Bombyx mori: one gene and its partners. The protein of the gene in region 1 purifies or fractionates together with the protein of each later gene. This does not show direct contact. Links are inferred from orthologs where the notes say so. Each region holds a gene or a part of one and is shown in the gene's direction. Other genes may lie near its edges. The genes, in order: Tbp, transcription initiation factor TFIID subunit 4, transcription initiation factor TFIID subunit 9, transcription initiation factor TFIID subunit 6, transcription initiation factor TFIID subunit 12 and transcription initiation factor TFIID subunit 5.

Region 1 (4,167 bases):
TTCTTTCTTTCCACAGCGTAAACAATGCATTGGATTTAATTTTCGTGTTGTATTTTGATGTAATGGTACGGTTTTGGTTTTGCTCCTATTTATTTTTTTAATACTTGTTCGTGGTGTGTCTTGTTCTGCCTGTTCTCTTGATTGAGAGATTGTAAAAATTTGTTGGAAGGTTACTTCTCGTGGTATTCCGTCTACCATTTGAACTAAATCAGGCCATTTTTGTTTCAAGTCGGTTTCTAAATCTGGATGATTCAATCCAGTGGCAAAGCGGTCACGTAATTGTCGTTCCAGGAAGTCATTAGTGTAGCCACAATCCCGACTAAGACCTTTTAATCTGTTTGCATAGTGTTCCATCGTTTCATTTTGTTCTCTAGTGCAATTCCAAAATTCTGTTAAGGCTCTATACCTCGTCGTTTTTATGCGATAGAGGTCTAATAATTTGTTACAAATTTCGCTGTATGTAGCTATATCGAAATCAGGCGTTAAAGCTACTTTTAATTCGTGGAATATCTCTGGTGTTAGTAAATTCAGAAGCAAATCTTTCTGTAAGTCGCTGTTATCGATAGCAAGAATTTTGCATTTGTTTTCGAAAAAATCAATGTAATCGTCAATTCTGAATGTATCTGGATTGTATTTATCCATATTGAAATGTTTGATTATACTTATCTTGTTATCCGTATCATGTTTTGTAAAAGAGTCGTTCGTCACGCTCTTGGCCGTTGTATTGCAAACTGCTGGTACCAACAATTTCAAGATTTGTAAAATCTGCTCTTGCTGGTTTTGTTGTGCATGTAAAAATAATGCGAATTGTTCATCGTTCATCTTAATTTCTTTTAACTCGTCGCCAATATAATAAAACAATGTTTTCAAGACATAGCATAAAATATAATAATGATAGGTAGCAAAAATGACAATGTGTTTGAAGTATATTTCAAATAATGGAATATGTAAAAGAAGGTTACAACAGAGTGCACCGCGGCGCCGGCGCGGCCTTGACATTTTCAATGAACCTGTTACATTTCTACGTACCTATTCCATTTTGAACGCGCGCTTACTGGAGAGCGCTAGATAATTATTGCACACGAGCGCTACATGGGCATCTCTACCTGTGGTTCTACAGAGACATCATTACATTTCATCTCACTCATTAAGTTTCATCGGGTACCTAGTCCATAACATTTGATTCTATTCTATTACACTTTGGATTTAACAAACCAAATTGTCTTTTAACACAAAATAATGGACTAGGCTGAATAGTTTCATTCCATCGCCTTCGCTTATCGCGAATATGATTTTACTTTGACATGTTGGTTCTGAATTTTGTTTGAAAAATGAGGAATTATATAGATACCTACATAATGTGACTTGTGTTGATCAACTAAGTTTTAACTGTTTTAATTCATTGTATTAATTGTTTTGCTGATCCATTAAATTTGCAAATAATTTCACAATTTAGGTGATATTGTTCAGAAAGTAAGAACGATATAAGCGTCATTATCAATTAATAAATAGACAGTTAGGTCGACGCTTACTAAAACACTCACCCGAAGTTTCCATATAAAGAAAGTAAAGAAAGAAAAATGGATCATATGCTGCCAAGTCCGTATAACATACCTGGAATAGGTACACCATTGCATCAACCTGAAGAAGACCAGCAAATCTTGCCTAATGCAATGCAACAGCAACAGCTTCAACAGCAACAGTCCCAGGCACAACCGTCACTTGCCGCTCTGGGTTCGTCGCCAATTGTAGGATTTGGCGCAATCATGGGGACTCCACAGAGGTCTATGCACACATATGCACCAACAGCCAGCTATGCAACTCCGCAACAGATGATGCAGCCTCAAACTCCAGTAAGGATTTTAAGTCCTTGTTTTACGAGAATTTCCATTTATAATTTTAAATTATTTTGACAGTAATATTTTTCAATGATTTCATATTTGCTTTTTAATCCAAACCAACAATTCAACACTCTTTAATTTCTAGATAAATTTAACATTAACATTCAGCTATATCAACTTTTAGCAAAATATGATGTCTCCGATGATAGCTGCAGGAAATCTATCAAGTCAACAAATGCTAAGCCAAGCTAGTCCTGCCCCAATGACTCCTCTGACACCACTCTCTGCAGACCCTGGAATTTTACCACAGTTACAGTTAGTATTTGAAACATTTGTCCAATATCAATTTAATAAAATATTAAATTAAAAAGTTTAGAGTATTAAACTCAGCAGTGATGTGTATAATGAACCTTATTAGACCCTTAGTGGGGTCTCTTAAGAATCTTCAACTTCTCACAACTTCACACAGACTTCAAATTACAGTTAATCTGAAACAGTTTAAGAGGCCAGGTTATTTTTCATTCTGCTAAAAAAAAACAACGTGTATTTAAAGTCAAAGATAACCTGTTCTAAGTGATAACCAGAGATCTAAGTGATAAACATCACAATATCACCATCTTAAAAAGTAAGAAATTTCAAGGACATTTTTGTATCATCACCCTCCAAGCTGAAATTAATAATATCTGCTTTGTGACACATATAGACAGAATTTTAGTATTATCATCCTGTGTAGGTTCACAATTCAGGGCAAATCACAAATAATTACACATGTTCTGATACAAGACATTTTTTGCCATTGAAGTCTGCTATGCTGGACCATGTTGTTATTATGAGGATAATTTTGCCAATTTTACATTGTTTACTTTATATTGTAAGGCTAAATAACCATTAAGTTGGCAAAACTAAATGTAGTTTGATTGAGTTAATTATTATGAGACATGTTTTAAAATAACTTCACTTTTACAAAAGGGGCCACTACCTTGCAAATTATATCAAAAGATGACAAATTTAGTCAACACTAGTTTTTTTTATATGTAAAATTTTTGCAGTATGATATTATTTACAAAACAACCAATTTTCTCATTTTAGTATGCTCAAAGATCATAATCATACTGTAAATGTGATGGACAGTAATAAAAAAGAATGGTGGTTAGTATCATTCAGTAAGCTTGGTTATTTTGTTGAATATATACCTTCTCGTAAAAGTAACTGGCTTGGAACTTCATAATATATTTGGCCCTTGTTTGCTGGACTTAGCATAATGCAAACTGTATTGATAGTAATACTCAAATTTGCAAATAAGCAACTTGTGGCAGCCAAGCCAACAATAGTGTGGTTCTTAGTGTTCACTGTACAGAACATAGATTCTGAGGAACTCTTCAATATTTTGACTATACTTTTCAAACATCTATTCAAATGTTAATATTGGAATTATAATTTCCCTTCAATTTATATCCCATGGAATTTCATTAATTAATACAAAAAGTGATTGCTGAAAATACAGAATTCTTACACTATAATATGTTATTATTCAGTATCAGAGCAGAGCAACTCAAATGGCGCCTTTGCTACCTGGATTCTTTCCTCGTTTTCTCTAATTCGATAATTAATGGGAGATTTGAAGTGCCAGAATGTTAGTGTTAAAGATATAAAATTAAAATTAATTTCAGCATGCCCTAGGTTGAATTTTTTGAGTAAATATCAATTTAAAATTTTTGAATAAATAGTTTCAAATATCTATTATATTACTTGCCCAATGGAGTGTAATGTTTTGGTTTAAAGATGAAAAGTCTAACATACTTTAACCAACTAATAAAATGAAATCTCGTTTTAATGTAGAAAAAAATCACAATTTTGACTAAAATTAAGTCTAAATAATCCATATTTTTTTAAAGTTGCATTCAAAAAACATTTCAGAAACATAGTCTCTACTGTAAATCTTGACTGCAAATTAGATTTGAAGAAGATTGCATTACATGCTCGTAATGCTGAGTATAATCCCAAACGTTTTGCCGCTGTAATTATGAGAATAAGGGAACCGAGAACAACAGCTTTAATTTTCTCATCTGGTAAAATGGTCTGTACTGGTGCCAAAAGTGAGGAAGACTCCCGTTTAGCGGCAAGAAAATATGCTAGAATAATCCAGAAATTAGGCTTCACAGTGAGTATTATAATTTATTTCAATCACAATTAGACAAGCAGTTTCACTTGATGGATGGATTAGCACCAAAAATTTAGATATCAAATAGGTATCTCGAATAATGTTTTTCCTTAGATTCTACAATACATCTAGTCTAGGTAGAGTCTAAAACTACATTTAAGTTTT
Region 2 (3,996 bases), on another chromosome or scaffold:
GTTTTATTTCGTTTATTTCGTTTACTCTACTTTATTTATGCTACTAATCATATTGAAACGCACTAAAATTTTCGTGAATTTAATTCAATTTATACAGTACTAGCGGCCCGCACCGTCTCCGCTCGGGTCTTTAATAAAAAATTCAATGATATTTGACGTTGTTTTATTTTTTTTTAAATAAAAGAACACTTATTGCGGAATAACTATAAGAGTACATATGCTGTTGCGACACTTTTTGTAAATAATGTGTTCTACAAAGTTGTACATTATTTTATTCTATTATCAATAGTTTTCGCAGGGCACGCGATGGAAAGAATATTGAAGGTAATTTTTTTACACCTTGGGTTACATTATTGGAGTTTTAGTTTTAGTAAGATCCCTAAATTTTTCAAAAAATAATATAACCTATGTCACTCGGGAATAATGTAGCTTCGAAACAGTGAAAGAATTTTTCAAATCGGTTCAGTGGTTTCGGAGCCTATTCAATACAAACAAACAAACAAATCTTTCTTCTTTATAATATTGGTATAGATAATTTAAAAAATATTAACGTAGCTTTTTAGCTTGTTAATATTTTTCCAAAAATATAAATTAATATCATAACTAAAATTTTGCGACTTGCGACTTAGACCTCATTATAATTCAATTCATTAAGGAATGTCGATCACTTTAGATGGAGTAAAATGTGGTATTATAACATTAGGATTTGATAAGAACGTAATTTATAAAGTGTCTAACACAATCACAACAAAAGAGACTTAAAATTAAAATATAGTTATGAATAGCGAATTAAGAATAAGTTTTAGCCTGAAACCTTTGCAGTTGTAAATTGGCTCACCTTTGTACAAAGACGCTGTTCTACTTTTTGGCGGACACTTTTAACAGATCACAAAGTTGGTGTTTATTTATTTATTTATGTACCTTATTTTATGTCCCTGTGTATTTAACTGTAAATATTGTATATAGTCATCTGAGGTATGACAACTTTTAGCATGTATTACCAACATTTGTACAATTTTCAGTCAAATAACAAAATTATTCTTTTTATTGAAAAGGTAGTGATTTTATTTGGGCTGTCTTAAAAAAAGTACTTTTTATCAAACAGACAAAAATCTAAAAAGTAAAAAATAAAAGTTGTTTCCAAAAGCAGTGATACCACATTTTGTCGGTAAATACCGGTTTGTAACCGTCCAGTGTCATATCCGCTGATTTGTAGAAAATGGCGTCAACGGAGTTTTTGGAGGAAGCTTTGTCCACAGACGTCGACGAGAAAGCCGTGAACGCGATCGTGGGCACTCTCGAAAACCAATTAGTTACTAACGTATCGTCGGCGCCGTCACAAAATATTTTAGTGAACGTTTTATCATCTCAGTTTCCCGGGCTAAGTTCGAACGCGGGCTCTATTATAAGTGGTCATAAATATACAACAGGCGGAGTTAGCTGCGGTATTGCCGCGAACAGTATACACAGACCCTCGTTGACAAATAGCACGTCCTGTAATAATGTCCAATCAAGTGTTCCTGGTACTTATTCCTCTTTGACACCGGGTGGTACTGTGACCAATTGTAACGATAACATACAAGTTATATATTCTCAGGCTCAAGCATTTTCTAACCCAAATTCGGTGACATTTCCCGCTCAGTCACTTCCGAACGGTTTCGTTGGGTTGTCCTCGTCCCAAAATCATTTGATAACGTCAGTAGACGCGATGCAACCTCCTTTAGTTTTAAAACAGGGGACGTCTTCGGGCCAAGTGGGAATACAGTCTGGAATGGTCACAGTACCGATGACAGCCAATTCAAGCATGTCCGGTTCAATACCAAATGTAATGACTTTGAACAAACCTGGACAAAATGTAGTTGTAACAACTCAGAACTTGGGTTCGAGTCAGCCCACAATACTCCCTAATGTTCAGATTCTGAATATGAGAGCTGGTGCTCCAGCAGTTGCGGCACAAAAGTCAGTAGCAACAGTATCACCAAGAGTAGTGATAGGCACCCCACAAGTTGTTGGCACCAGAGCTGCAGGACCAGGCGTAAGTCTCAAATGTTAAAATATTAATACATTAATTATTTATCCAAGCGTTTTGTCACTAAAACTTATTTAAAACTTTTAGGACTGATACAAGTTGTAAAGTAAATATACCACCAAAAAAAAAAAAACTTTTATAAATAAAACAATATTTAGGAAATTCAAAACATAGTATATTGCAACTTTTCTGAAATGTTTGTAAAAGATAAAAATCATTAAACTTAAAATAAGTTAATGTTATTAATTTCTAATTTAATCAAATCAGAATCTTCTATTGTTTTTATTGTCTTTTTATCAGTCCTAAAACAAATTAACAATAGACATTATAGAGGAACTAAAACAAAAAAGAAAAAATCTACAGGATCTTTCTGCATTATAATGTTATGCTGTAAAAATAAATGTTATAACATGGTTCATTATGGTTATGTACAAAAGATATTAACACAATTCTTAGATACCCACTTATCTGTAAATAAATTTCACTGAAACATGAAGAGGATGGATTTCTTCGGGCAACATCACTGTCATCTAAAACTCTTAGCATATTTGCACAAATTGTCACATAAACACAGAATACTGCTTGTTAAACTTTTATCAATGGGAAATGGGCCCACTGGTGATTCAACAAATTTTCAGTGGTTTGCATATCATAAACAAGCTGAAATTTAACTTTGAATTCTGCTACCCTACAATCAAATAATGCCTCAAAATATAAACCTAATACAACATGGATTTATAAATTAAACTTTATTATATAATTTTCTGGGAATCCATAAAACTGCTACAAATAAAAATATTAGTAAAATTTATGAAATCAAGCAATCTTTACCAGTTTAATGGAATCTGAGAAAGCTTCATTTCAGATGTCATATATGTCATATATAATTGCATTGTGCTACTCGGGCTTTTGTATAATATTGTAATCAATAATAGCTTAACCCATCCTAACCTTGTCATAATCATATCATATACATGTTAGTTTTGCACAGTCACCTGTCCCGTCAATGTTGTCATGTCACTGAAGTGTGTTATAAATTTTAACAAATGACCTGCTTTAGGAATTCGCATTCCAATTTTATATTTAGTAAAATATATATTCTTTCACTTGTTACTCTTCATTTAATGAAGAAGTAGGTGAAATTGAATTGAAGCGTTCAATTTTTAGATAACGCTGCAAACACTACCAAGTCTACAACCGGGCCAGCAGGGTCATTTGTTGTTAAAGACAGAGAATGGTCAATACCAGTTGCTGAGAGTGGGTCCCGCTCCAGCGGCCAGCTCTCTCACGACGCCCCAGCCTCAAACCATCAGGCTGTCCACTGTGCCAGCAGTAAGTAGGCACAACCACTCACACCCTGACTGAGATTGGACAACCCCCCCTCTCTCTTGCGCCACATTGAGAATCTCATGTTTGTCCAATTTCATGTTGTTCATGCATGTACAAATGTGGTGAAGGTGCATGTTCTTATTAACAAGGTAAGAAGATTCTAATTGGAGTATCATTACTTATAAATACTAATTACCTGGATTCATTAGTTTAATGTAAGGCATAAATATATGCGCTGGTACCCCAACAGTACATCTAAGTATAAGCCAAATGTCCGTGCTAGCTGTAGAGCATGCTTATTATGCATAGTTATTAAGCTGCTTCAAGTATTTAAATATTTATTAGTAAATACAATAATATATGCAATATAATTAGATATGTGTTTATAGATATATTTATAATTTAGTGTTATACTTTAATAAATTTTTTATAAATTTTAGAAATTATAAGTTATTTGATTAATATAATCTTAACTGTATAACAGACAAGCCATTGTTTAAAAATATCAAAAATATCTATTATAAATTATTATACAGTAATCCATCCTATAACACAGTCAATTGGTTCCATGTTATAGGAAACACGTTGTAGGAGTATTTTCATATGACGCACTTGTGTGATCCCATAACACGCGTTTT
Region 3 (3,916 bases), on another chromosome or scaffold:
GTCCATGTATTAGTTAATGTACCTAATACAATATTACATTAATGTAATCATTAGCGATATTCTAGTACATTTCGTGAAGGTATCGCCGTGCTGCGACGTGTCAGCGTCCGAAGCGACCCACTTAACAATTGGATTGATATCTGAAAATACTTATTTTTACTGTACACGTAAGTTATTTCATATTTTAACTGAATAAATCGAAATGGTTATTATAGTTGTATGTTTTATTTATTTAATACCCTTCAAAATCCATGTCAACCTTCAGTGACTTTAGAAACAATTCTTGTTGATTCACCATCGTTAAAATAGTCCTACTTCCAAGATACTGTCTCATGAATGAATGAATAAACTGAACATGGCGCTAATCAGAACTGGCTATCTTAGTAAAAAAACCTGCCAGACTGTTATTAAGTGGATATCTAACTTTTTTGTGTAACTTGTCGAAAGGCAAGCAATTGCTTAAATTCCAACAGAACAAAGAAACATCAAACGGGAACGCTTGACTGTTTTGCGGCAGAAAAAAACCAGATTATGGATATCTATTCTAATTTATTTTTCAATTCACAGTTTATAGACGGTTGATAAATGAATATTAATATTCTCTAAATCTAAGAAAATCCTAAAATTAAATGAACCAAATAATACAAACCAGTTTTTCATTTTGTTACAATATTGCCGAAAAATAATATACATACATATATCTTTTTATTTTGAGTACTTTAATTAAGATAAATAAATAAGAAAAATGATTTCTGTTTTGAATGTAAATGCATAAAAGGAAATTTAATATCTAGGTAATATTTTTTTCGTAAGACAGTGCGGGATAAGCGTTTACATTTGTTTAAAGATAAAGGTATTGAAAGTAGAGATATTGAAACCAGCTACTTAGTTAGTTTTGTTAACTAACTGTACAGCTGTTTGATGAACGAAATAAATAAGAAAAAAGGAATTCATTATATATTTTTTGAAGTAAAACTTCTTTAGGCGCGTTGAGAGTGAAATTTAACTCGCGACAGATTCGTTACGGCTAGAGAGAAAAGATACAATTTAGGAAGAGCGAGAGTAAGAAAATAGGTAGGGCGTCTTGTGAACCACTCAACCGTGGAGAGAGGGAAAGGGCAAAGCGAGTTAGGTCGTTTTTTAATTTAGTGACATCTATTGGATTTCGTTTAACTACTACATTGCAAGACCATCGGTGTGAACAGTTTAGTTTCTAAATTATTTACAGAAGGCGGTATTTTAAATAAAAGTAATTATCACTAAACATATTATTATTGTAAAACCAAAGGACTCGTTCGGTAATCATCGAATACTGGTAACAACTTCTTTCTAAGTTAATCTTATTTCTCGAGATAAATTGAAGTTTCACTTCTTTCACGTGCACCAAGTTTTATACGCGCACCAGTTTTTTGTTTGTTTCCAAGTTCTGACAACAACCATAGAGAGATATACTTTTAAATGTGTTCTGAAATGAAGATGTCAATGGCTCAGAATGGCTGACACTGACAGTTTGAATTGACTTGACAATCGTCATCAAACAACATAGATCTGTCACAATCACAGCACAAGTGTTGTTTTTATAGCATTGTTACCAAAATAAAGTATGCCAATACTATGACTAAGAAAAAGATTTTTAAACAAATCAGAAATAATTCGGTCTAAAATTAAAATAACAAATAAAACTACAAGATGTCAGAGAAAGACAAATCCAAATCGGGTGGTCAAGCTAAGCACATTCCCAAAGATGCCCAAGTCATCATGTCCATCATGAAGGAAGTAGGTATCACTGACTATGAACCGAGAGTCGTGAACCAGCTCCTAGAATTCACATACCGCTACGTTACATCAGTATTAGATGATGCAAGGATATTTGCAAACCACGCAAAAAAGAAAACTATAGATCTTGATGATGTGAGACTGTCAGCTCAAATGCAATTGGACAAGTCCTTCACGAATCCCCCGCCCCGTGAAGTGCTACTGGAGATCGCGAGGGTCAAGAATGTTAATCCTTTGCCGTTGATAAAGCCGCATTGCGGGTTAAGACTGCCTCCGGATCGGTAAGTATTGGAAAATGTAGCACACTTTAATCCTATATCTCACAGCACATTATATTAATCTTTCGTGAGTATGGACTTAGATAATTTCTTCAAAAATCAGGATTAGCTTAAATAGCTCAAGGTTCAATCACCGGACTTGAGGGAAAAATACTCCACTTTAGACCACACGTATGTAATTTGCGCACCATGAATTGATTGCAACAATATTGTGTTCACAATCAAAGTTCAGTAAAGTCTTCTTGTAAACAATATCTTTAGGTGACAGATTGTCTTATTACAATTTGTAAGTAGTTACTGATACTTCAATACTGCCTGTTACTAAGAAGTCTTCAAACCTTACTGAAATAATGTCAGAATACTCCATAAACACCAATGGTTGCATTTGGGAGCCTGGTATAATAGTAAAAATGATGAATAGAAATACACTATGGACCAATTCCGCTAACAAAGGAAATTATGGAATAATTTTGATTAATTTTGTGTGAAACATGAGATTCCCTTAACACCCAGAGCCTTTTAATATGGTTAACTTGTAAATCGCTGCATGTTTACAGAGAATATTCATTTTTCCAGTTACTGCCTGTCATCCTGTAATTACAAACTGAAACCAGCAACCAAGAAAGTGATCACAAAAACTACGATAACCCCTTCCCCGTCCATAAAAACGGTCACCACATCCAAAGCACCTCAACAGACAGTTGTTATGAAGAGACCACCGGGAGCAATTGTGAATGTGGGCACCCCAAAAACCAGTCTCGGAACAAAACCTGTACTGAAATTTTCATCAAGCAGTAAAGTAAGAATTTGGTTTAATTTTAAAATTATAGAATAGATAAATAGACAGCACTATGCTTTATCATATTCATCACAGATTGAACTATTAAAAAGTGGTTTCTTTATTTCCTAACAATAATTTGAAATGTTGAAAACTGATAATCTATATTATGATATAAACAAAACGAAATATCTATTTTGTCTAATTAAATGTCAACTTATATTTGATAATATCAAAATTGCGTCACAATTTTTTTTTATTATATCTGATTATGTATTGAAATCTACATTATAAATTAAAACTAATTTTAATCTTTCATTTTTTATTTGCTTTACATTATTTCTGACATTTCATAGTTAGCACAATATTTAAATGTCAATGAATTATATTGCAGGTAGTAAAACCAGCTGTAAGAGTGACAGCTGGTCCTTCCTCACAGGCTCCTATCAAGATGGAGACAGACGAGCCAATGAGCCACAAACGGAAAAGAGAAGACGACGATTATGATCTATAAATAATTAATAGGATCACGATCTTTCTGCCTGGAATCAACATTTTGATATTAAAAAGTATCATGTGTTTAATCCTGTTTGTTTAGTGATTAATTCCATAAAACCTGATGATGCAAATTGCTCAGATTGTATGGTTTATATGACTAAGGGTATTTTAATTATTACTGTAGGTAGAAACAACAAAAAAATTGAATTTTTCCTGTTTTTTTTAAGTGAATCATATTTCAATGAAATAGCTTGCCAAAAGTTCTAAAGATAATATAATAACAGAAAGATTTAAGTAAGAGAATCTGAGATTAAAAGAGTCACTGTCTGACTGTGCCCTATAATTTAAGTAAGATCTGGAGGTGAACTCATACCGTTTTGATGCACAACTAGATTCTTTTTAATTTGCGACCGTATAGCTTGGCTGCCGTGCAAATTTTGAATTGAATTTGATATTATGTGTTGTAGTTTTCTAGATGAGAACAGGATATCTACAGTGATTTAACATACATTTAAGAAGGCATTAAAATAGAGTAGGTAAGATAAAAATGCATTCACAGAACTTGTCATCTACTACACTCGCGAGC
Region 4 (4,023 bases), on another chromosome or scaffold:
AATATGACCTCTTCCAAGCTGACAAGAATCATCTAAGGAAATAAATTAATCATAGTACTACCACCAACACACTTACTGATAGAAAAAAAGAATATAACTAAGAATATAATTTTCACATAAATATAAATAAATATATATAAGAATACTGCACATAAAAATGGCTTAATAGAAGATTTTGGTTTTAATATTAACAAACCTAGTAAAGTAGCTATATGATAAATTGTAAATTAAATATTATTTTAGTAAGACTTACTGTCTAGAATAGTGCTTGTCTGGGCTGGGTCAATGTCCAGGGAAGTTTTGTATTGTTCTAAAGCCTTTTCTTTTTGTCCTATCTTCTGCAAAGCTTGTCCGAGAAGTTTATAAGCCGCTGCATTGTTATCTTTTTGAGTAAGATATTGCTCAACATATTTTTGGCAATTCGCAAAATCGCCAACTTCAAAATACAACCGAGCGATGGAATAAGCACGACTTTTAAACTGAAAATAACCAAATATCGATGGTAAAAACTTTGTCAATAAGCGTAATACTTGATTTGAACACCAACTACCAACCTCTCTCGAAGATATTTTGTTCAGCAAATTTTCGACGTGCTTATCAACGTCTTTTTTATTTCTATACATTTTAACGATTTTTCCGTCTAACCGATAGTAGTCACTTATTTACAAAACTAGACCTTTTGAAAATAATATTACAACTTGAAGCGCATGAGGCTGCAAATGCCCGTAATCGAACGCGAAGCTATGGTTGGTTATATTGATTACCTTTATTCTCTTTGAAATGGTTGGCAAAATGAATAATAACGAATAGAAATTGGAATGCCGTCAAAAGTCAATATGTCGTCAGTTATAGAGCAAAAAATTGCTAGATCTAAAAATGAGCTCAAAATGTACCACAAATTTAAAAATGTTTGTTTCATAACTGTTCATTTTCTGGAATACTTTTCTGTGGCATGCATTACTGAACAATTTTATAAAGCAATGCTTAAAAATGTAAAAAAATATGGTTTCTATTTGTTGTCATAAAATTTACTTGGCTTAATAAAAAAATCATAAATTACGCAATCCTTAGCTCATGCACTCAACTTGATCCCATAGACATTATAATCTACACCCATCTTATGGCATGAGACCGTAGTTTTAATTTTGGGTGTGACATGTCCATAGTATTGGCATAAAATAGCTTCATCCAGTTTTTTCACACTCAAGACAAATAATAGAGCATGGGCAGCATAAGCAGCATTTCATGCCAATTGATTAAGTTTCCTTCGTTTTTTATTATTCGTAAACTGTAAATACCTACTTAAAACGGCGATTCCTAAAAATCTTATTACTTGACGCTGGCTAATGCACAAACGTGCCGGATCCAAAAACTAAGAAGAAGAATATGTTGTACCAAAAAAATCTATGGTAGAATGTCTACTTGTATCCAAATAGTAAATAAATTAGGGTACACAGGTACATACCTACCTACTTATCTACATTAATTAACTTTACCTTATCACAACAGGAAAATATCAGAAAAAAGCAGGAATAAAAAATTAAAGATTAACCCAAAGAATACAGTGATACAAGGGGTCTATCGTAATCGTAACCAATTTGGTGATAAATCATTGTTTAATGCTGTAGTCAACGTATCTTAAAGGTATTCATATGCTCCCTTTGATTGAATTGAGAACTTTAACAACTTTCATAAACCACAACCTTATTTTTTTATAGATTTAATTTCTATCATGGGCGACTCAGAATTGGCTTATGGATCTTCGTTAACGTTGGATTCCATGAAAGTGATAGCAGAGAGTGTTGGTATCGCCACTCTTGGCGATGACGCTGCTAAGGAACTCGCTGATGATGTTACATATCGCTTGAAAGTGATTGTTCAAGATGCCATGAAGTTCATGCATCACTCAAAGAGACAAAAACTTTCCATTACAGATATAGATCATGCCCTGAAGATAAAAAACAATGAGGTATTTTAATATCTGCAGTTAAAGCAATATTTAAATATGGCTTTAAGTGTTCCATGGTCTCCTATGATAAATTAACAATATTTTTTTTTAATTCATTATATTATTTCATTCATTTTAGTGTCAATATGGATTTATTCAGCCTGATTCGCTGCCATTTAGGTTCGCATCTGGAGGAGGTAGAGAACTCCATTTCATTGAAGAAAAAGAGATAGATCTTTCGGAGATCCTATCAGCACCACCCCCAAAGGTTCCATTGGATGTATCTGTTCGTGCACATTGGCTAAGTGTGGATGGGGTTCAACCAACAGTACCTGAAAATCCACCACCGCTTTCAAAAGAAGCTCAGAAACTTGAATCTGTTGATCCAATAAGTAAACTGAGTAAACCAAGCAATAAAGATTCTGCAGGTTAGATAACTATAACAGTTGTTTTGATAGGAATATCACAGGGTTTAATTAATTTTACTTATGGTAGAAAAGATACAAAACTGGAAGAATATAATTGGTAGGGCTTAATATGGATTCTGATTGAATTATCTGAATTAAAGTACACAAGTAACAAGTTATTTAGTATTTTCAAGAGATTATTGCAAATGATATTTTGACACAAATATATGTATAGGAATAAACATTGGAATCATAACCTCATTTTTTTACCACTGCTACAATTTAAAAAAAAAGCGATTCTATGCGGGTGTGAAAGATAATATTTTTTTATAAATATAAATATTACAGGTAAACCTATATGTGGCAAAGCAGCAAGATTGAAAGCATCAGAATCTGTGCATGTTAAACAGCTTGCTACCCATGAATTGAGTGTTGAACAGCAGCTCTATTATAAAGAAATCACAGAAGCCTGTGTTGGCAGTGATGAAACAAGACGTGCTGTAAGTAACTACCCTGATAGAAAGAAAAAAAAAAAAACAATGAACACCATATAATTTTTTCTTCCATTTAATATTGAATCTTAAAAAGTTGCATATCTTCTCATTAAATACATTACATAATTATATTTATAGTAGATATATTGAAAGAAACTATTTCACAATATTATTATGGAAAACCATATCCATATTGCTTAGATGGGTAGACGAGCTCACAGCCCACCTGGTGTTAAGTGGTTACTGGAGCCCATAGACATCCACAACGTAAATGCGCCACACACCTTGAGATATAGTTCTAAGGTCTCAGTATAGTCACAACGGCTGCCCCACCCTTCAAACCGAAACGCATTACTGCTTCACGGCAGAAATTTTTTACTATATGAAAACAATTTCTGGTAAATGTCTATGGGCTCCAGTAACCACTTAACACCAGGTGGGCGTGAGCTCGTCCACACATCTAAGCAAAAGATGTCTATATTTAAATTTCCATTGCTGTTCAAGTGTAGTCTAAACAAGACCTAACTCACTAAATATATAACTGGTGGCAAAGATCACCAACCATACTTTTTACAAAGTATAGAATTTTCTAATAGGTTTAGATATCCTATATGTATGTTATTCTATTTGTGAAAGATCTGAAATAATTGAAAAAAAATAATTTTGTATTCTGCTTTACAAATTTCTTCATCTTGCAGGAAGCGCTCCAGTCCTTAGCTTGTGACCCAGGACTACACGAGATGTTGCCCAGAATGTGTACTTTTATATCTGAAGGTGTGAAGGTTAATGTCGTACAAAACAATCTGGCTCTTCTCATTTACCTGATGCGAATGGTTAAGGCACTACTTGATAACCAGTCACTATATTTGGAAAAATATGTGAGTAGTTATTCCTATTAATAACAAAATTATGGAGAACCTTCGTCACATTATCAAATGTTGAAACTGTGAATTGAGTCTCAAGATAAAAATCATTAAATTTCAAATTCAATAAATGTGTACTTACATTATTTATTCACTTTGATCATGCAAGTTTGTATATTCCACAATGTGAATGACATCCATGTTGGGATTTTCCACTTTTTATTGCAGTGTCTTTACTTCAATTAATGAATATAAAAGTAGAATGTATATCTTCATTATGTTTAGTCAACGAGAAGAATGTATATCAAAGG
Region 5 (3,863 bases), on another chromosome or scaffold:
GATGCACAAGCCGCCGCCGTCGAGCGGGGGTCAGGAGGCGGATCTCGCCCAAGCCCTGGCCCTGTAAGTGTTTCGGGTCCCCTTTACATGTCGGTCTGGGGACTGGCGAAGGGGGCCTAAGAAGAGGACGTGCAAGCTGCTCTGCACGCGTTTTACGCAAGAGCATCCGGGTGATGGAAGGCCGGCTATCCTCGACCCACGCTGGTTGTGACCCAGCGGGGTATTCCGTAGGATAACCCATTCTAACCGGCGCCATCTAGGCGGGCTCTGGATAGCCTGCCTACCGGGAGGGCTGGTGGTCGTGGCGCCGACGACCGCCGGTCCGGCGTCCCGAGGGGGAGGGTAATGGGAGAGATGTGCACTAAACGCTTCACTTTCCCCCTTTGACTTTTCATGAGTTGTCTCATGCGAGGATCGGACGCGGGTTGTTGAGCAACAGGAGGTTTTAGTCAGTTCGACTCTGACATGTCTCGAATATATTAAGTGTATAATCTATGGCCCCGCCCTCCATCCCCAGGGATGGAAAAAAAAAGGGGAGGGCGGAAGATCGGCGATTTTCTCCTGACCAAAAAAAAAAGTACTTAGTAGTTCTTTTTTTCAATGTGACAATAAGCTTCTTTCTATACCGTTGTTGCCAGTATCGATTTTATAAAATCTCCAATTAATTTAAATATACGTGTTCTGTGAGAAATGATATGGGATAACGGAATAGGACGAAGTTGACTTATTTAAGGCTGTTATTAATCGGGATCAAATTAAATGATACGAGATGAGATGGAATGTAATAAAGTCTCCCTAAAATGAGAGTTATTTACTGAGACTTCAGTTCAGGTTTTTGGAAAAACCCAGGAATCCACGTCCACAAAGCTCTTTTTAATTTTATTTTATTGAAGTCTTAGTAAACAGTCTCTAGGTTATTTAATCTCCTGACATCTCACCTTATTCATTTCTAGTTTTTATTATTAGTGTTAATCACTCGCGCTATTCGACTTATTGTTGTCGTTAAGCAATCATGCGTTTCAGTTTGAAAGTTGGGAAAGTCGTTTATACAATACAATTGAAACATGGATTTCATGTCTCAAGGCGGATGGCGGCACTGACTTTTTAACCTGCTATAATAAAACCTGCATCCTGTAACAAAATAATATGCTGTATGGGGTATGGTTTCTTTGCCAGTCGAAAAAATGTTAACAAATGACTTAAGTAATATTGTCAATTAGGAATGAAATTGAAATATTGAGACGATCTTATAAGAAAAATAAATAAACTCGTATTGACACACTCATCTCGGAGATTTCGAAATGTTTAAAGATTATCGTTTTTATACGTGACGTTTTCTCGTTTGTTGTGTTAAAAGTATAAATGTCCAATAATTCTCTAGCACAAGCAGCAAATATGCCTACAATAGGGACTGTTGGTCAAGGCGCTATACAATACGTTAATAATCCCATGCAAAGTCCTCAACTTCAAAACACTTCTATTCAAGGTTCTCCTTCTCAACACAGCCCTATGGGGACCCAGTCACAAGTAGCAAAAGTTGGCCAAGGCGGAGCTGGTGACCAGTCATCTCAGGTAGGTTGAAAAGATTTTAAGACTTCGTGGTATATTAACATATATTTTTTCAAACCTTACTATCCACGCAAACTCAACAACGCAATAGTATCCATAAATCCATTTGGACTCTTTGTCAAGGACTAAAGCTTTATAAAATATGTTAAATTTAATAGAGTAATTTAATAGTAATTAGTGCAAAACAATATAATTGTTACTTAACATTATAGTAAATTAAATCTTGTTACCAGAAGCATAAAATTTGAGTATAGAACTTGTTTCAGAAGATTTTTATAACCTGTCTTTAATTCGACAATTTTTTAAATTCTGTTTTCCAGAAATCTTATCCTTAATGTGGTCTCCTTAATGTATCTTTAGATATTAAAATTTAATTTGCTGGATGTGGGCTGTGAAGGACCAGTCATTGTGTAATGTCTGTGGGCTGATGATGACAATAATGACTACAATTTGAAAATCTATATTGTTGATTTTTTTATATACAGCTTCTAAGCCGTCCTCGTCTTCAAGAATTAGTTAGAGAAGTGGACCCAACAGTGCAGCTCGATGAAGAAGTGGAGGAAATGTTACTGCAGCTTGCAGATGACTTCATCGACACTACACTGAATTCAGCTTGCGCTCTTGCTAAGCACAGGCATGCACCAAATGTAGAACTGAGAGATGTGCAGCTACATTTAGGTAAATTATATATTTTTTAATATTACATATAATGCCACAACACAAAATTAAATTTTAATTTTACTGGTTTTACATCAACAAACTAATATCAGTTATGTTGTTTGTCATTTAACAATCATGAAAATATAATTAAAATACTGTTAACCACTGCGAGTTAACCATGTTGTGTGTGCCAAGTTAATAGCAAAGGTGAATTCCTTTTTTTTAGAATATTTTATGAGCAAATCTGATGAAACTTCTTATCAGTCAATATACATGACATTTTCAAAGGAATTTTAGGTAAACATTACTGTTTTTATCCTTGAAGTTGATTCGCTAAAAATGAGTGGACAAGCTTACATCATGCTCCAAATCTTGGATATTTCATTTATAAAAATCATTGTAGGTGTATAGGTGAATAGGTACATTAACAACATCATTACATAATTTGTGGAATAATAGTTTTATAATTGTCCTCAGCTGTAAATTTACCAGACAAAATGTAAGATATTCCTTAGTAAAAGTACCCAGACATGGTATTTGAGAACTATAACTATAGTACACCACAATATTGATTCACTATCTACCTACCATAAGATGTGCAGTTATAAATCATTATTTCAGCAATTATCGTTATTCTTTTGAAAATGGAAAACATTTCAGCTTTACACCTTTGCAGTTTCATTTAAAATTTTCTTTGTATTTGTTGAAACCTAGCAAAGACTCCTTATGCAATATAAGTGAAAATACATTGATGCATTTAGCTTCAATTTTGTTTTCTACTATTAGAAAGACCGTGATTAGATATTCTTGTAATAGCTGAATTGTCAATATAAGAACATAAGAAAAAATGAATTATCATTTTGAATTTTCAGAACGTCAGTGGAACATGTGGATACCAGGTTTTGGAAACGATGAACTGCGGCCATACAAGAGAGCAGCAGTTACAGAAGCGCACAGACAACGGATGGCACTCATCCGGAAATCGATAAAAAAATATTAGCTAATAAATTAGATATCAATACCTAAACGAGATTGTAATGTCTTGTATTTTATTATTTAACAGTTTACGATTTTATCTGTAAGCTGTTTTTTAGAATATAGTTGTAATTTTCTTAAATAAATATTTTCAAAATATGTATGACTATTACTATTTTCGTCAGTTTTCGCGTGATTCGTAAACAAGGTTAATACTACTTATAAAATATTTAAAACATCTAACATAATATAACGAAAATAAAAATCCCGAGATTTAACTATAAAAATTGTTTAAGTTATGTATGTTCATATATTATTTTATTGTCAAGGTCCTACGAAATAAACTTTACAGTAAACTTAGCAGCATCAGATAAATTAAGTTTTAAATTTTTGTAAGATTTATATGTTTATTCATTATAACACCATTGCCAAACTAGGAAAATTCTTAGAATATGCATATAATTTTGTTCACTCTACCTCTACTTATATTTTCCTTATTACAGAAGTCTGGCTTTTTTTAGTTAGCATAGTTTTTTAGCCACTCGACAAACGAGCTTAGTTGTATAATTCAATGAATGGGATAAACAAATAAAAACAACATTTAACTAACACGCAATTTTATTAATTCTAATAAGCTTGTGTTTTTTATGTCAAACATG
Region 6 (3,500 bases), on another chromosome or scaffold:
CATCTAAATATATTCTTCATTTCCAGCACAAATAAATTTACAGTTCAGTTATCAAGAGATGCATCTTCACAACTGAAACGTTACTTACACGAACAGAAAAATTCCTCAGTAATAATAAATATAATAAATAATCATATACAAATCGAAGTCCATGATGGTCCAGGAAGAACTCAAGCACAAGTTCGAGCTACAGCTGGAGGGGTACTTGGAGAACCAATGAAAAGTGGTGAGAATGTTGAATAATTATCGAATTACTATAAACACCAATGAGAATGAGAGCCATTAAATATTAACCTGCATAGGTAGGTACCACCGTTCTACGTTTTTCTGCTGCAGTAATAAGTTCCTGTTTTAATGTTGAGACAACTGATAAACATTAGACTTGGTTTTTCTACCTCATGTCTTAAGATGTGTGATGACATTTAAGCTTTGATTTGTATGAGCTCTGATAACCACATATCACCATGAGAGCCACATATCATCATTGTTCACTCATCTATACATTCAATTGTTCTCCAGTTTTTCTTCCGGTATTTAAATAGTGACACTGATTCAATGAAATTGTAACTATACTGTAAATAACATTATGATGACATTGCATCACAGGGCCAAAAAATAAATGACTCTTAAGTAGGTAGGCCAAATAAATAGAATACATTTTATTATAAATAATTATATAAACGACAATACCTAATGAACACAAGAACAATGATAAGATTAAACTTTTTAAATTTAAATTAAACAAAAAATTAAATTATATAGAAAATCGCACCAAAGTGTATTATGGGCTCCTGAAAGAGCCCGATATTCAAGTTCTACCGGCTCCGGTAGAAGACGAAGAAGAAGTAGAAGAAACCCCTGACAAACCAAAAAAGAAAAAAGCGAAAAAAGATAATCTTTTTATGAAGAAACCAAAATCTGACCCAAATGCACCTCCTAATGACAGGATCCCTCTACCAGATCTGTAAGTCTTGTACTGATTGCAAATTTATGAATTTTTTAGAAAGAAATTGTGTGAAATAAAAAATATAGTATTATGTGCACATATTTTAATTTATTATTTTAGAAAAGAAATTGATAAAGTAGAGAAAGGCAAAGCACTCAGAGAAGCATCAAAACGTGTTCAGCTAGGACCAGACAGCTTGCCCTCTATTTGTTTCTATACATTACTGAACAGCGGACATACTGCAATTAGTTGTGATATTTGTGACGATTCCACCCTTTTGGCTGTGGGATTTAATAACTCAAACATAAAGGTATACATAGTATATAGCGAATGGTATTGATTTAATGTGTTATGATTTTCAGGTATATGCTTTTTACTAACTAACAAAAAATAGCATAGGAATGAAGCTGCTATTTTTAATTAGAGCTTTTGAAGGAACTGTATCGCCTAAGACTAGATTTTTTCTTTGAGAAGTTTTTGAAAAAAGAAAACCTGACTAGAGATGCTACCACGTTTTTCCCAATTTAGCACTCTTACTATTGTAGCGACAGCTATTACAGAATAGAAGATATTTGTCAAAAACACATCATCAAACACATAAGCACATCTAAGTTTCGAGCATTAGGACAAAGACACTCGCTCAGTGATCATTCCTAGGTCGTTATCCACAAAACTGTAAACCCAGTAAAATATGAAGTAACCGCTTGTAAATATAACGCTCTCATCATGTTTCCACTTGTGTACATATTTTTCTACATGACTGTAAAGATCAGAGATCACTTAATGCTAAAAAGCTTTTACGATAATATTTAAGTACAGTAAGTATACGAGGCTTAAATTAAGCATCAAAAGGTCGTTGCAAAATTCAAATCAGAGTTGTTAAATATTTTATTCCTAATTACCTCAAAGGCTCAGGGACATGCCTTAATACTAACGACATGTCGCAATGCTCGGGAAAAATCTGAGAAAGGGAGAGTTAGTTAATTCCAGGCAAAGCCGAGTGACACAATGAACTCTTAAATCTCGCTGTGGAAACCCTACGATAAGCATTGCCCTGTGGTAAGGGTAGTTATTAATGGTAGATCACGACTCAGAGCAGCCCCTAATAGATCGAAGTATCTTCGGGTACCCAATGATTGAAAACCATCCGAGAAACTAATCGATAATTCTAAAGAAACTATCTTCTCAAATTATAATTTGTCTCTAATTATTACTACCTAAACACTACTCATTCATCCTAAAACTCAAAATTATATTCTAATTTAAAATATTTTAGGTATGGACATTGACTCCCATTAAACTGCGAGGAATGAAATCTGCAGAAAAACTACAAGATATAGACAGGGAAGCAGGTATAAATTTGGTTAAAATATATAATTGTTTTCAAATGATTTAATCTAATATAAATAAATTGCTTACTTTTAGGTGATGTACTCGTGAGGATGATGGAGGAAAAGGACCGTGATACGTGCCGCAACCTTTTTGGGCACTCCGGCCCCGTTTATAAAGTTGCATTTGATCCTTTTAAAACAATGCTGCTTTCGTGCTCTGAGGATACAACTGGTACGTGGGTCCGGTTTAACAAACTTTGAAATCGGAATCAAAGTTCCCAGTCTGAACGGGGCAGTGAACCGGCTCTGTATTTTACAAATATATTATATTATCTCCTCGCGTCGTTTCCTCACTGCTGAGGGTCGTGACCATTATACTTCGACATGATTTTACTCCTTGTAATGTCCCGCCAGCGCCTCCGATTATTGGCCGCAGGAAGGGCGTCGTGGAATGGGATCTCGTGGATCTCGTGATATATGACTTATCATTAAAACCGGCTAGTAAGTTAATTAAATGAAATTTCGAATGTGATGCACTGTCCCTTTCCAACAATGCATGCGTTACCAAAAGAAACTTTGGTATTATTGCTTTTTTATTTCCCTTGTAGGCAGACCAGATACGGCTCCCCTGATGGTGAGTGGTTACCGTCGCCTATGGACGTCAGGAACGCCAGGAGCATAGTTAAGCCGCAGCCTACCGCTAAGTACCGTTAAGCTTGCACTCTGTCTGTCATGAATAAACTTTACAAATAATCAATTACATTACAAATAATCAAAGAATCAGTTCATGTCTCTATTTTTGAAGTATAGGTTTGCGATGACTATGATGAATTACAGTTTCCTAACAAACAAAAATTTGTTTATAGCTACATAATTACACCATTTGATGGAAAATTTATTGAAGACTGAAATAATATTGGTAATGGACCTACAGAAATTTCTTAGTCGGATTTCTAGTAACTGTAGTGGTTCGGTTAACACAAACTTGTTCGCGAAACGTCTACTTTTAACGATCTTACAGATCTTATTTTCGACTATTTTGAATTTATCTTCAGTCACTCAAAATCGCTGATGGAAGTCAATTATCTAATGCGGTACCCATTTTTCTACTGATGCCACGGTATAATTCGTATTCGGAAATAACATGATATTTAACTTTTCTAGAATTGTGAATAAAATTTTTCAAAGCAAACAATGCGAAAACACACAGAGAACACACTAAA

Evidence for each region.
Region 2: the proteins of Tbp (region 1) and transcription initiation factor TFIID subunit 4 purify together in Drosophila melanogaster (affinity purification with western blotting; 7 studies listed by BioGRID). This does not show direct contact. The link is inferred for Bombyx mori from reciprocal best matches to the Drosophila melanogaster genes Tbp and Taf4.
Region 3: the proteins of Tbp (region 1) and transcription initiation factor TFIID subunit 9 purify together in Drosophila melanogaster (affinity purification with western blotting; 8 studies listed by BioGRID, with this or other methods). This does not show direct contact. The link is inferred for Bombyx mori from reciprocal best matches to the Drosophila melanogaster genes Tbp and Taf9.
Region 4: the proteins of Tbp (region 1) and transcription initiation factor TFIID subunit 6 purify together in Drosophila melanogaster (affinity purification with western blotting; 5 studies listed by BioGRID, with this or other methods). This does not show direct contact. The link is inferred for Bombyx mori from reciprocal best matches to the Drosophila melanogaster genes Tbp and Taf6.
Region 5: the proteins of Tbp (region 1) and transcription initiation factor TFIID subunit 12 purify together in Drosophila melanogaster (affinity purification with western blotting; 3 studies listed by BioGRID, with this or other methods). This does not show direct contact. The link is inferred for Bombyx mori from reciprocal best matches to the Drosophila melanogaster genes Tbp and Taf12.
Region 6: the proteins of Tbp (region 1) and transcription initiation factor TFIID subunit 5 purify together in Drosophila melanogaster (affinity purification with western blotting; 4 studies listed by BioGRID). This does not show direct contact. The link is inferred for Bombyx mori from reciprocal best matches to the Drosophila melanogaster genes Tbp and Taf5.

Annotation. Positions count from the first base shown.
Region 1 is NC_085118.1:10,751,688-10,755,854, reverse strand, and holds the start of Tbp (TATA-box-binding protein), read left to right. Parts: upstream 1-1,367; 5' UTR 1,368-1,580; coding exon 1,581-1,853; intron 1,854-2,025; coding exon 2,026-2,156; intron 2,157-2,192; exon of another isoform or gene 2,193-2,329; intron 2,330-2,405; exon of another isoform or gene 2,406-2,508; intron 2,509-3,034; exon of another isoform or gene 3,035-3,172; intron 3,173-3,758; coding exon 3,759-4,002; intron 4,003-4,167. UniProt on the Drosophila melanogaster protein: General transcription factor that functions at the core of the DNA-binding multiprotein factor TFIID.
Region 2 is NC_085107.1:19,834,974-19,838,969, reverse strand, and holds the start of transcription initiation factor TFIID subunit 4, read left to right. Parts: upstream 1-1,196; 5' UTR 1,197-1,219; coding exon 1,220-2,035; intron 2,036-3,196; coding exon 3,197-3,361; intron 3,362-3,996. UniProt on the Drosophila melanogaster protein: TFIID is a multimeric protein complex that plays a central role in mediating promoter responses to various activators and repressors.
Region 3 is NC_085109.1:1,357,273-1,361,188, reverse strand, and holds transcription initiation factor TFIID subunit 9, read left to right. Parts: upstream 1-1,493; 5' UTR 1,494-1,689; coding exon 1,690-2,057; intron 2,058-2,630; coding exon 2,631-2,853; intron 2,854-3,226; coding exon 3,227-3,346; 3' UTR 3,347-3,416; downstream 3,417-3,916. UniProt on the Drosophila melanogaster protein: TFIID is a multimeric protein complex that plays a central role in mediating promoter responses to various activators and repressors.
Region 4 is NC_085121.1:11,010,764-11,014,786, reverse strand, and holds the start of transcription initiation factor TFIID subunit 6, read left to right. Parts: upstream 1-1,223; 5' UTR 1,224-1,644; intron 1,645-1,718; 5' UTR 1,719-1,732; coding exon 1,733-1,969; intron 1,970-2,087; coding exon 2,088-2,376; intron 2,377-2,703; coding exon 2,704-2,855; intron 2,856-3,547; coding exon 3,548-3,727; intron 3,728-4,023. Other genes in the region: E3 SUMO-protein ligase RanBP2, read right to left, coding at 254-479, 555-623. UniProt on the Drosophila melanogaster protein: TFIID is a multimeric protein complex that plays a central role in mediating promoter responses to various activators and repressors.
Region 5 is NC_085113.1:5,365,976-5,369,838, reverse strand, and holds transcription initiation factor TFIID subunit 12, read left to right. Parts: upstream 1-1,224; 5' UTR 1,225-1,362; coding exon 1,363-1,572; intron 1,573-2,054; coding exon 2,055-2,247; intron 2,248-3,101; coding exon 3,102-3,229; 3' UTR 3,230-3,363; downstream 3,364-3,863. UniProt on the Drosophila melanogaster protein: TFIID is a multimeric protein complex that plays a central role in mediating promoter responses to various activators and repressors.
Region 6 is NC_085110.1:9,225,387-9,228,886, reverse strand, and holds part of transcription initiation factor TFIID subunit 5, read left to right. Parts: intron 1-26; coding exon 27-226; intron 227-762; coding exon 763-964; intron 965-1,066; coding exon 1,067-1,256; intron 1,257-2,222; coding exon 2,223-2,298; intron 2,299-2,371; coding exon 2,372-2,509; intron 2,510-3,500. UniProt on the Drosophila melanogaster protein: TFIID is a multimeric protein complex that plays a central role in mediating promoter responses to various activators and repressors. May play a role in helping to anchor Taf4 within the TFIID complex.